3 linked regions of the Oryctolagus cuniculus genome follow. The protein of the gene in region 2 binds, or shares a complex with, the protein of the main gene of each other region. Links are inferred from orthologs where the notes say so. Each region holds a gene or a part of one and is shown on either strand. Other genes may lie near its edges.

What was found.
Region 1: the proteins of FGFR1 (region 2) and PLCG2 are in contact, whole or in part, in a cryo-EM structure (PDB 8JQI), measured with the Homo sapiens proteins. The link is inferred for Oryctolagus cuniculus from reciprocal best matches to the Homo sapiens genes FGFR1 and PLCG2. Residues at the interface, in NP_075598.2 of Homo sapiens: Lys504, Asn506, His541, Lys542, Lys598, Ser602, Tyr605, Gln606, Arg609, Glu612, Tyr613, Ser616, Lys617, Lys748, Asp755, Arg756, Val758, Ser762, Gln764, Glu765, Tyr766, Leu767, Asp768, Leu769; in NP_001412678.1 of Homo sapiens: Phe528, Arg540, Thr568, Phe569, Pro570, Asn571, Phe577, His585, Cys586, Arg587, Arg589, Ser590, Thr591, Met592, Gly595, Leu601, Thr602, Asn604, Leu622, Arg623, Cys624, Ala625, Glu626, Phe627, Glu738.
Region 3: the proteins of FGFR1 (region 2) and FRS2 are in contact, whole or in part, in an NMR structure (PDB 1XR0), measured with the Homo sapiens proteins. The link is inferred for Oryctolagus cuniculus from reciprocal best matches to the Homo sapiens genes FGFR1 and FRS2. Residues at the interface, in NP_075598.2 of Homo sapiens: His409, Ser410, Gln411, Met412, Ala413, Val414, His415, Lys416, Leu417, Ala418, Lys419, Ser420, Ile421, Pro422, Leu423, Arg424, Arg425, Gln426, Val427, Thr428, Val429, Ser430; in NP_001036020.1 of Homo sapiens: Asn25, Val26, Asp27, Asp28, Leu33, Leu47, Thr49, Arg50, Asp53, Ser54, Val55, Trp57, Leu60, Cys61, Leu62, Arg63, Arg64, Tyr65, Gly66, Tyr67, Asp68, Ser69, Leu71, Ser73, Phe74, Gln81, Thr82, Ile86, Phe87, Ala88.

What each region holds. Positions count from the first base shown.
Region 1 is NC_091449.1:63,935,205-63,938,791, reverse strand, and holds part of PLCG2 (1-phosphatidylinositol 4,5-bisphosphate phosphodiesterase gamma-2), read right to left. Parts: intron 3,545-3,587; coding exon 3,426-3,544; intron 2,631-3,425; coding exon 2,545-2,630; intron 1,612-2,544; coding exon 1,491-1,611; intron 1-1,490. UniProt on the Homo sapiens protein: The production of the second messenger molecules diacylglycerol (DAG) and inositol 1,4,5-trisphosphate (IP3) is mediated by activated phosphatidylinositol-specific phospholipase C enzymes. It is a crucial enzyme in transmembrane signaling.
Region 2 is NC_091433.1:88,167,646-88,171,232, forward strand, and holds part of FGFR1 (fibroblast growth factor receptor 1), read right to left. Parts: intron 324-3,587; coding exon 57-323; intron 1-56. UniProt on the Homo sapiens protein: Tyrosine-protein kinase that acts as a cell-surface receptor for fibroblast growth factors and plays an essential role in the regulation of embryonic development, cell proliferation, differentiation and migration.
Region 3 is NC_091442.1:72,013,120-72,017,168, forward strand, and holds the start of FRS2 (fibroblast growth factor receptor substrate 2), read left to right. Parts: upstream 1-1,243; 5' UTR 1,244-1,407; intron 1,408-1,647; exon of another isoform or gene 1,648-2,408; intron 2,409-3,068; exon of another isoform or gene 3,069-3,091; intron 3,092-4,049. UniProt on the Homo sapiens protein: Adapter protein that links activated FGR and NGF receptors to downstream signaling pathways.

The sequences.
Region 1 (3,587 bases), on a different chromosome or scaffold from region 2:
TCCATCACGGCGCTTTCTCTCTGCACAGCCCTGGGAGGCACACATGACCCTCACCGCCACTTCTTAAGATACCGGAACCAAAGCACAGAATGCAGAGTCCCTGGCCCAGACGGGTCACTGACAGAGTTCAAAGGGCGCAGTGCAGCAGTCTCACACCTCTGAGGCTACCACAGGCCTCTCGCCAGCTGTCCACAGCCACAAGGAGCCCAGACCAGGAGCCAACAAACCGAGGCCCACATACCAAATCCAGGCTGCCTTGGACTTTCCTGTGTCTCACCTGCACGCACCATGCCCACTGCTCAAGTCGTGCCGTGGCTGTCTCTGAGCCGCAGCAAACGGGCTAAGTGGGGGCTGCAATAGAGACCACAGGGCCCAGGCACTGCTGTCCGGTCCTTCACGGGGACCCCGGATCCCCGGTCAAGGCCTAGATCACGGGCTGCCCAAACAGAGAGGATCAGACCCGGTTCAGAAGTCACACAAACCAAGCAAAATGTCAGCGCTGACTTGCTTGACCCCAGTGTTGTGTCCCTACACAACCATGCCTGCTTGAGATCACATGGACAAAGAGCCTGGTGCAGAGGCCAGCCCCGGGGAAAGACACCACCACCCAGCACTACCATCACAATCACCAACAACCATGGCCAGCATCATCACTAATACCATCAACACCAACAACCCAGCACTACCGCCACCAGCACTAGCACCAACCACCACCATCATCACCACCAACAACCCACACTACCACCATCACACCAACCACTGCCACCATCATCACTACTATCATCACCAACAACCCACACTACCACCATCACTATCACCACCAACCACCACCATCACTACCACCACCAACCACACCAATATCACCAATACCATCGCCAACAACCCATATACTACCTTACCATCACCAACAACTCATACTATCACCATCACCAACCACCACCATCACAACCACCAAAAACCACCACCAATATCACCAATACCATCACCAACAACCCATATAATACCATCAGCATCACCAACAACCTCTGTCACCATCATCACCAATACCATTACCACCAACCACCACCACCACCAATGCCATCACCACTAACCAATACTACTACCACCACCACCATCACCACCAACAACCCACACTGCCATCATCACCATCACTATCCATACCATCACTGCTACCACCACCAGATTCTTTGGATCCCACAGGCCTCTGGGGACCTGGGAAGCAAGGAGGATTTTAGCAGGAAGGGAACCTTGGCTGTCTTTCTCTTTGGACAGGCTCAGAAACAGAGAGCAGGCTGAGAACCGGAGGGTGCAGGGCGCTGTGGGAGCCTCCTGCACTCTTGACCTGTAGGGGGCACCAACAGTCAGCTGGGGCTCACGGGTGACTGGCTAGGATGGAGCTCAGGCCTCTTCTGTCTGGGGAAGGCAGGCAGCATCTATATCTGCCCGTCAATCCACTCCTAGCTGCCTTTCTTTAAAGGCCACCAACTCACCTTGAGGTGACAAAGGCGTGGTCTTTGATGGCCTGCACGACGTCGTCGAACTTGATCTTGGTGGTCCGCGTCCAGCCGTGGTAGATGATGGGCTTCCCGTCGGGCCCGTCCCAGCAGTCCACTGGGGAGAAGGGCAGTGGCCTCAGCCCCACACACGCCCACTGAGAGCAGCTGGAGGCCACCCAGGTGAGGACGGTTCTCCTGCATCCGTGTGGCTACCTGGGACCTACGTCACGTAGTTCCTAGCTTCACTGCCTCAGTTTAAAACAGGTGTCTGAAAGGGGTTTATCTTCTGCTGTCACCTGCCTCACTGTGGCTTGCCTCTCTGCTGGTGCATACGACAAACAGCAAGAGAAACGCATTTGCAAGCATCACTCGAATATTCACACGGGACGAGATCTGGGCTCTGGGTCTCCATCCCCCAGAGGGCAGCAGCAGCTGACGGAGTCACACTTGACTCTGTCGCATTTGCTTTTTCCTGGTGGGGAATTAAAAGTATTAACCCAGAGGTCTGTGAGATAACCGTTCCCTGTGACACCAGAGCCTGAGTCCGTGGTATGTGCCGGCGCCCAGCCGAAGATACCTGCAAGTCCCCAGGGGTAGAGTGAGCCAGGCCAACTGGGAAGAGATGGGAGGACCAGAGGGGAGGAAGGATGCGAGGTCGGCCATCTGTCTCAGAGCCACCCTCACCGTGCAGGTCATGTGGGGCTCCGGGTACTCTAGGAACCACCTGTCCACCCTCAAGGGCACCGAGGCGCTCTCTGAAACCAACCCCGACAGAAGCAGGGTGAGCACCAAAGACAAGAGCACCGTCCTTGGCACTGCCACCCCTACCCCAGGCTCCTGTGACACTGGGACATTTTTCAGGACGCCCCAAACCATGGACCCGTCAGGCTCCAGACACCGCTCCTTGTCTCAGCGACTGTGAGAGGTCCCAGGTCTCATACCATCGACGACTCGACAGGCACCTGCGCCTGCCTCCGCCAGTCCCGCCCACCTCCAGCAGGAAGAAGCCCCACAGCCTCCTGGCCCCACACCCGCCTCCTCCACTCACACTCAATGCAGCGGCAGCCCAGGCGCAGGCAGCGGATGTACGCCTCCGTGGAGGACTCGCTCCGCAGCTGGTCCCCAGTGAGGTACCTGAGGGGGAGAGGCAGGTGGCCATGGTGGGCAGGCAGCCCCGCCCCTAGGCCCGAGCCGCCAAGGTCCTGAAAGATCTTCACAGCTCGAAAGATCCAAGGACGGCCATCACGTGGCCACAGACCTTCAACTCGGGCCACTGGTGCAAGTCGTGCGCAGTAACCACCGGGGCAACACAGACGCACGTGTGCCCCCAGCAGAACCCGGGGCACCAGTGACACGGGGGCAGGTGAAAAGTGAACGCCACCCCCCCCGCAGCTGCCCAGCAGGGCAGAGGTCGGGCACAAAATCGCTGTGCCCCGCCCTCCCCCCCATACCCTACACGCTGGCCTTCATAGGTTATTTCTGCCTCGAGACCTTGGTATGTGGTGCTCTGTTTCCTGAACCGCTCCTCTCTGCCCTATTGCTGGTTCTCTCATCAACTCACAGTCATGGCCACGTCCAAGGTGGCCTTGCCCCTCCAAGCACAGGGAGATGAGGCTGCTCTCCCCTCATGCCCTGTTTCCCTAGCAGGTGGCAGGCACATAGTAGGTAGCCTGTGAATATCAGCCCAACAACTAGGGGAATTGCTTTTCTGTGGCCAGTATGAGAGGCCTCAACTGTGCAAAGCAGCTCTGCCGACTTGCTTGGCAGAGCCGCTGAGAAAGGATTATCATTGCCAGGCCTGCTGGGAAATGGAGCTGCATCCCCCATCCCCGGCCCCTTCCAGAAGGTTCTGTATATTCCAGACTGGGACACATGGTGGCCGTCATGCAACACGCTTTGCCAGAACGGAGAGCCCACGGCGACACTCACGTGTTGTGGGAGGAGGAGATCCAGTAATGAGACAAGGGGTTGTTCATGTCCTGCATGTCCACCACGTCGTACTTCTCGTCCCAGATGCTGTTTTCTCGCGAGAACAGGTACGTGAGGAACTGAAAGAGTCAAACACGGCAGGGATGGGTCTGGCGGCGGCTG
Region 2 (3,587 bases):
GTGGGCCGGAGGGGGTAGGTGCGGGGAGAGCGTGAGGGCGGGGCTTTGCTACCAACCTGAGACGTTGACGGAGAAGTAGGTGGTGTCGCTGCCCGAGGGGCTGCTGGTCACGCATGCGTAGAGGCCGGAGTCGGCGGGCACGGAGTCCCGCACCTCCACCTCCTCGCCCGTGATGCGCGTGCGGTTGCTTTCTGCCAGCTGCACCCCGTCCCGCAGCCAGTTGATGCTCTGCACATCGTCCCGCAGCCGACAGCGAAGCTGCAGCAGGTCACCCGGGTGGACCAGCAAGGACTCCACTTCCACAGGGGCTCCCCAGGGCTGGGCTGCAGCCACCCCAGGGACGGGCAGAGGAGGCAGTGGCGGGCGAGGGAGGAGGGAGAGACAAAGGGGGAGTTACGCTGGCCACCACCGGGCCTCACTTCCTCGAACTGGCGTTGGGGCTGGGAATACGGGTCAGTGGGAAGACAGCTGGCGGCCTGGGACCCCTGGCTCCTCTCCCCCACCCCGCTCCTCCAAAAGTCAAAGGAAGAAAAGAGGCAAAGTTAGGAAGCAGCTGCAGCAGCGTTAAGCGGATCACACTGCGTTTCCCGCCATCCTAAGGGAGAGGCCGCCCTCCCCAGGCCTCCTCTGTGGCCAGATGCTGCCCCGCACACGCCCAGTTCTTTGCCAGGAGTGGCCACTGCCCCCACAGGGACACCCCTTCCCCTAACAACAGTTGGACAAGCCCTGCCCCTCCGAAATCCAGCAGCCCCCACCCCTGTCTGTCACGGGGGGGGGGGGGGGGGGCCGCAGTTCCCGTGGTTCAGTGTGTGTGGGGGTCTGGCCTCCAAGGAGGCAGAGGCGAGGTCAGCTCAGGGGAGCCTCTCTCTGACAGGTGCTGGGCCAGAGGATTTGGAGCCTTTGCCTATATAAGGAAGGGAGGCCCGCAGCTGCCCCAAACCCACACTTGCTCTGGCAGCAGACGCTGCTGCACACAAAGCTCCTTTCTCCTCGGCCCACCGCCCAGCTCGCCCTGTGTGTCCCCACCTTCCTCTGTCCCCAGCGCTGTCTCAGCCACTCGACTTTGCCTGTCCCCTGCACCGGACCCACCCAGGGTGTCCAGAACTCACATGATCCCATGCTACCCAGAGCACCCAACCCTCTCCTGACCCTCCGGCCACAGCACCTCTTCCATCCTGGCCTGTACGCTCCTTTGCACCAAAGAGGGGGAATGGGGGTCCTGCTTCCTGTAAGGACTGTGCAGAGGTATCCCTGGCCTCTTCTTGCACCAAAAGAACGCACACAGTTGGTGTCTGTCACCCACCGCCTGACTAAGATCGCAGCCTCTTCCATCAGGCCGATTCCGCACTCCTGCTGAGCCTAAGCCGCTCCCAGAAAATGCCCTGCAGGCCCCTGGCCCTGAGGCTCTGACTCAGAACACACGTGCCCTCTCTCCCTCAGCCCTGCTTCACCTGCGGCTACCCCCACCCACCACCCCACCCCGCAGGGGCCCCTGTGTGTCTCTTTGCCTGGCTCTGGCTGGCGACTCCTCCAGGAAGCCACCTGCAATGCCCGCCTGGTGGGACTGTGGGATGAGAGTCGCATTTACCTTTGAATCTGTAGCACTTGGTCTGCCACTCAGCACCCAGGATCTCAGCCCCTGCTGGGGCAGCTGCACGCCCCTTCACTGTGCCCCTTTCTGCGCTCCCATTTCTCCTGCACCTCTCATTTTGGGGGTGCTCAAAAGGTTTCTGCTAAACACCCTATAAATGGAAAAGGGGTCCCCTGGCACCGGACAACACCAGGGACCCACAGGGGTTTGCTCCAATGGGTCCTTGGGACCACGACGAACAGGTAAGGCTGGGTGGCCTGGGCTGCAGTCCCTGGCCCGTGTCAGCCCAATACTGGGTCATTGAAAACTGGGTGCTGCATTATGAGGGGTTCTGGAACCACAAGGCCAGCATGTGGTTTATTCCTGTGAGTCCAGTCAAGGGGACACCGCAGAAGTGAGTGGGTTAAAAATGAGCCTTTGTGGGCCTCAGAAAAACCGACCCTTCCCAGTTTTAATGGACTGTGGTTTTGCCAAATGAAAGTGTTAGACAATCCGTTTGGACTTGACCCTTAAGGAAAACTGCAGACACTCCTATTGATCAAATCTCGCTCCCCTCAAATGACCTCACTGATTAAATATTTTGCAGTGCATGACTTGTACCGGCCGCTGGTCAATAGCAAACTCAAATTCTTCGCCTCTGGCATCACACAGCCTGTTTCCACAGGTCCGGGAGACAAAAAGGAACTCCAAAGACAAAATGCAGCAAGGAGCAGAATCAGGCATCCCCCCCACCCCCATCAAGAGGAGGCGGCAGAGACCTGGCCCAGCTGGCGCCATCCCAACCAGACGTGCAAACCAAACTCTTGTACAGGATCTATAAAAAGCCTCCAGGGCCAACTCTTTTCCTGGATTCGTCTCCTAACATGTCTCAGTCTGCTCTATCCTCTCCTTCCTTGCACCTCACCTCTGGAGAACCTCCAATGCCTGGGGTCAAGACCCCCAACCCCACCTTGCTCTCAAGTCTGTATGTACTGTATTCTCCTGATCAAGATCCCCACACTGAGTGCTGGCATTGTGGGTAAATTGCCATCTGCAATGCCAACATCCCATATTGGCACTGGTTCGAGTCCCTGGCTGCTCCACTTCCGATCCAGCTCCGTGCTAATGGCCTAGGAAAAGCTGTGGAAGATGGCCCGAGCATTTGGGCCCCTGCCACCCATGCGGGAGACCTGGAAGAAGCTCTTGGTTCTGGCCTGGTCCATTGCTGGCTGTTGGTGACCATCTGGGGGACTGAGCCAGTGGAAGGAAGATCTCTCTCTCTCTTTATCTCTCCCTAACTCTGACTTTCAAAAATAAATTAAAAAATCTTTTAAAAAATTCCTACACTGTTTATGGGATGAATAAACCCAACACCCTTGCTTTGCCTTCAGTCAAGGCTCCCTAAATCTGACCCCACCCTCTGCAGCCAGTTGCCTTGTTTTCCATGGCTGCCTGTTCTGAGCCCTGACACAACAAAGCTTACCCTGCCGAGGACTGTCTCAGCAGGTCCTCCATCAGAAATGCCCTGGAAGGGACAGGTGCGTGGCCCAGCAGAACACTGGTTGGGACACTTGTGCCTGGTTATAGTCCTGGTGCTGCTCCTGATTCCAACTTCCAGGCATCCTGGGAGGTGGCAGCTGATGACTCAAGTAGTTGGGTCCCTGCCATCTACAAGGGAGACTATTCCTGGTCCCTGGTCCCCAGTTTTGACCTGACCCAGCCCTGGCTGGTGTGGGCATTTGGGGAGTGAACCAGTGGATGACTCTTTCTGTTTCTGGCTCTCAAGTAAATAAATTGACTGACTAATAATTTTTACAATGTCCAGGAAGTCTTCTGTTTACACTGGCATCTCTCCCTAATTTTCTGAAGAACACTTACTGTCTGCACTATATAAATTTATACCCAATTACACACCATTTTATATTGTTTCTTTCTCTTAACATCAGAGAGATAATTCACACACTGTAAAGTTCACCTATTTAAAGGGTATATCTCAACTGTGTTTAGTACGGCGTTC
Region 3 (4,049 bases), on a different chromosome or scaffold from region 2:
CCAGGCCATCAGCAGGCAGCTGGTTAGGAAGTGGAGCCCCCGGGACTGGAACTGGCACTCACATGGTGATGTCGTTGCTGGAGGCAGAGGCTTAGCCCACTACACCAGAGCCCCCGCCCTTCATAGGAAGTTTTTGAAAAGCGTCCCCCACTGTATGAAGAGACATCAGTGGGTTTGTTTTGCAGATAGTGTGCACGCTAAGAGGCCCCCCTCCACCCTTGCCCCTTTATCTGCCCTCAGACATTTGAGGTCTTTCCAGAGTCGGGCACCTTTCCTGGCCCGTCACGTGACTCTGGGTCCTCAGCCCGTCTTGGCTCAGAGCCTCGCAAGTATCCAGGCTGGCCTACCTGGTGAAAATTTGTACTCTTTGTTTCCTTCACCAGCCCTTCTATGGCCCATCGCGGGTGAGGTAGAACAGTTGACTTTTACTTCGTGTCAGATACTGAACTGTTCTGCATGCACTATCAATCTGATACGGTAATTCAGGGATGATGGATTATACATACATACATAAACAACAAGGCAACTGAGGGTTAGGTTAAGGGACTTGCCAGGGAGGAAAACTGAAAGCGAGTAAGATCCAGGCAGGGAGACTCCAGGACTGCCCCACCTCTTGGCCTTTGTTGCCAGTGGCAAGCGACGACAGAATTGATATAGATCTATATAATTTAGTTTCTGTCCTTCAAGAGCTTAAAAATCCTGTTAGGGTTAGAGGAGAGTTATAGACACAGCGCGACTTAAAATAAAACCAAGAGGCAGCATTTGTGGTATTGGGTTTGGTATCTTCGCCTCCTCTGCCAAGATGTAAATAGCACCAACCTCGAGAGGCTGGCGGAGCGCACGCACCAGAACCGCTGGGTACAGTGCCCACCGCGTAGTAAGCGGCCCACCGATGCCAACGACCTCTGTTTGTAAGGCAGGCAGGTGGGAGTGAACGCTGGCGAGGCGACGGGCCAGGTGTGTGGGTGCGCAGCACTTTTGCACCGCAACTTTCCAAGCCTCAGCTTTCGTTCTGCGAAACTACGGCCTGGAGCACAACCACCCCTAAGCGCAGTGAGAAAGTAAAGGCTGCAACCTCACCCCCAGGAGCCCAGCAGCCGCGGGGCCGAAAGGGTTAGCCCAGGGCCCGGGGGCGGCTTTGCGGGCGCCGGCGGGAGAGGCCCCGCCCCGGCCCGGCCCGCCCAGGAGGCCCTGGCAGCTCCAGCCCGCGAGCAGTTCCGGTGCCAAAACCCTTCCCTCCCCCGCTCCCCCGGAAGTGCTTTTCTAGGATTCGGGCCGGAGAGAGGCCTTGTAGGCACAGCCGCTGGGGCTCGATCGGGTCCGAGTACGGGCTCCTCCCGGGTTTGGAGTGCGGGAGTCCGCTCCCGCCGACCCGCGTCCTGCCCGTGGCCAGCAGCGGGGCCGATGGTGAGTGGCCGCGGGAAGGGACTGGGGCGGCCGCGAGCCCGCGTCGGAGCTAGCGCTCTGGGGGCCCCCGCTGCCCGCTCCGGGACTCGGGGCTCCGGACTGTGGGCTCGGCTGTCGGGGTCCGGGAAAGGGTGTTGTCGACCGCCGCGGTCACAGCCCAGCCCGGGGGTGCGGGGGGCGGGAAGAAGCGGGTTGCGGGGCCCTGGGGTGGGCGGGGCGGAGCCTAGGAGGGGGGTTCCCGGAGCTGTTGTTGCTGTTGGGACTCGGGAATCGGGATGGGCTGGGCCTCTGTCCGTCCGCCCCCCTCGCTTCTGCTCCCCCAAATCTCGCCGCCTCCCGGGTGTGAGTTTCTGTGTCTGATTTGGGGCGATAGACTTGGACCCTAGACCCGATCCTGGGCTCCAGTGCCTGACTTTTTCCTCTTTTGGGTCTGCCGCCGGGCTCAAGAATTAGCCCGGGTCCCAGGGGTGCCGCCGCTTCGGTCCCAGGGTGGGGCGCTGCTGGTGTAGATGCCGAAGATCTTCTGCAAGGCTTTTCGTCCATGCCCACTTCGGGGTTGTCCTGGATGGATTTGGACTGCGCTCGGCATCGGTTCGGGAGACGTAGGTTCCCGTGGCGCCAGTGCCTTGCATGTTCCTTTCTCGCTTGAAAGCTTGTTGAAGCTTGTTGTGGAAGTCACTTCAAAACAAAAAACAACTTGCCTGACGAAAACAGCGAGTTCAGATAATTTCGCCTAGCGTCTTGCTGACGTCAGAAAATGATGGTGTTCTTTAAAGTGCGCTCGGGAGTCAGAGTTGCGTTGAGTTCAGTCAAGAGGTTTATCGCACGAACCGATTGCAGAGGCTGGGAGAGTTATTAAGTCCCCTTCCTTCCAAAGTTTGCTTCCCTTTCTGTTTGGAACTGTCATGCTCCTTAACTTTCAAAGAGAAGCCGCGCTTGATTTCTCCGGAAAGGCTCCCGGTACCGTTACAGCTGTTGCTGCAATGCAGGGGTTCACACAGGTGGGCAGAGGAGTTTTGTTTGCTTAAACTTACATCGTGAAGTGTTTGCCTCGCTAACTTGAGAGTTTCCTGGAGAAGAGGATGATGTAGGGAGTTACTTCTAGGAAGCAGGTTTTGAGGTACTAAACTGAAGGAAGGTTTGTGGGAAATACGGGTTTTCTATATTTGATTTTTTTTTTAGTATGGCCATAAGGGAATGCAGTGAAGACGGATTATGACTGTGAGCGGTTGACAACTGTGTTTGCAGTGTGAAGTATACACGGAAGTCACTTTGATGCAGCGCGTGGCCCTCTCTGCACCTCTCGTGTTGTGCTTCTATTAGGACTTATACTGTAGTTTTTTGGGTGCTGATGTCATTCTCTCTCCTCCCACCGCCGGCAGGGGAGGGAAGTAATATCATGAATTAGGGAAAATAGACTGAAGTGACAAGTTCAGTGAGCTCTCTTATGCAAAGGAAAATTTATTTCGGCAGTGTTGATCTTGAGCAAGCAAACGGTGGCTGATTTTAAAAGTCCCTGGAAAAAATTGTAGAGATGAGTTGCACAACTTTAAGATTGATATGCGAACTGTAGATCCTTAGGCATTTGAAGCGCTTGATTGTTTAGAACATAAGGTTGGATGATTGTAATTGAGAGAATCTGGAAAAGAATCAAGTTAGATTTGCGTATGGGTCTGCACTACAGGTATGTATTTAATGCGTTTGAAGAAAAATATTTCAAGAGTTGTTAAGAGCAGAAAAAGAAGATTGGGGAAAATCGCCTTATTTGACACATTGCAAATTTTATATTACTCCGGTCAGTTCAACAAATGCTGAACATTTGCTGTGGGCCGAGATGTGTTAAGCAGCTGTGGGCAGTCTTAGCCACAAGGCCGAGAAGCGATGTGTTAAGCAACTATGCAGGAGCAAATAAAGATAGAGCTGTACAACTAAGACTCATGTTTTGGCAGTAATTTTCTGAGGTGTGCCTGAAATCCTCAAGAGTTGAATTATATTGTTTAGGCATTACTGATCTTCCCCCCCCCCCCCCCCCCCATTGTTGGGACTTAACATCAGAGGTAGGTGTTGAGAGCCTCGTGAAAAGCACAGTGTTCTGCTTAACTTAAGGCTGGGAAGATCCCGTCTTTGGTCTTTAGGACTTGGAAATCTAGTTGGGGTGTAAGATATTTGCATAGAAATTTACAACATAAAGGAATACATGTAAATACTACCTCGGTGGTTTGATCTAAAGTTTGGAGTTGTGTAAAAGGAAAAGGGGCTCATTTTTAGTTTAAGTAACTGTAGGAAGTAGGAGATAAATATTTACAAGGATAACTCTGCAACTCTTGTTTATTGGCCATTTACGGAGCAGCAGGCTATATGCTAGTGCAACAACCTGTTAGCCATCTTTCTTAATAATGAAGATGCTGAGGCTCAAATATGTAAAGTAACCTGCTGGGGGCTTTGTGGCTGGCAGGTAACAGTCCTCAGTTGAATTTGTATCTGTCTGGTGCCAAAGCCTGTGCCTCTCCACAACCTGGCACTGTATCCTCATACACTGGCAACCCAAGTTCGTTGTTTTCTGAGACAAAGGTTTTGAGCTTGGGATTAGGCGGGTGAAGATGACGTTTCAAATAAAGAGATTGTGGCTAGAAGACGTGTGG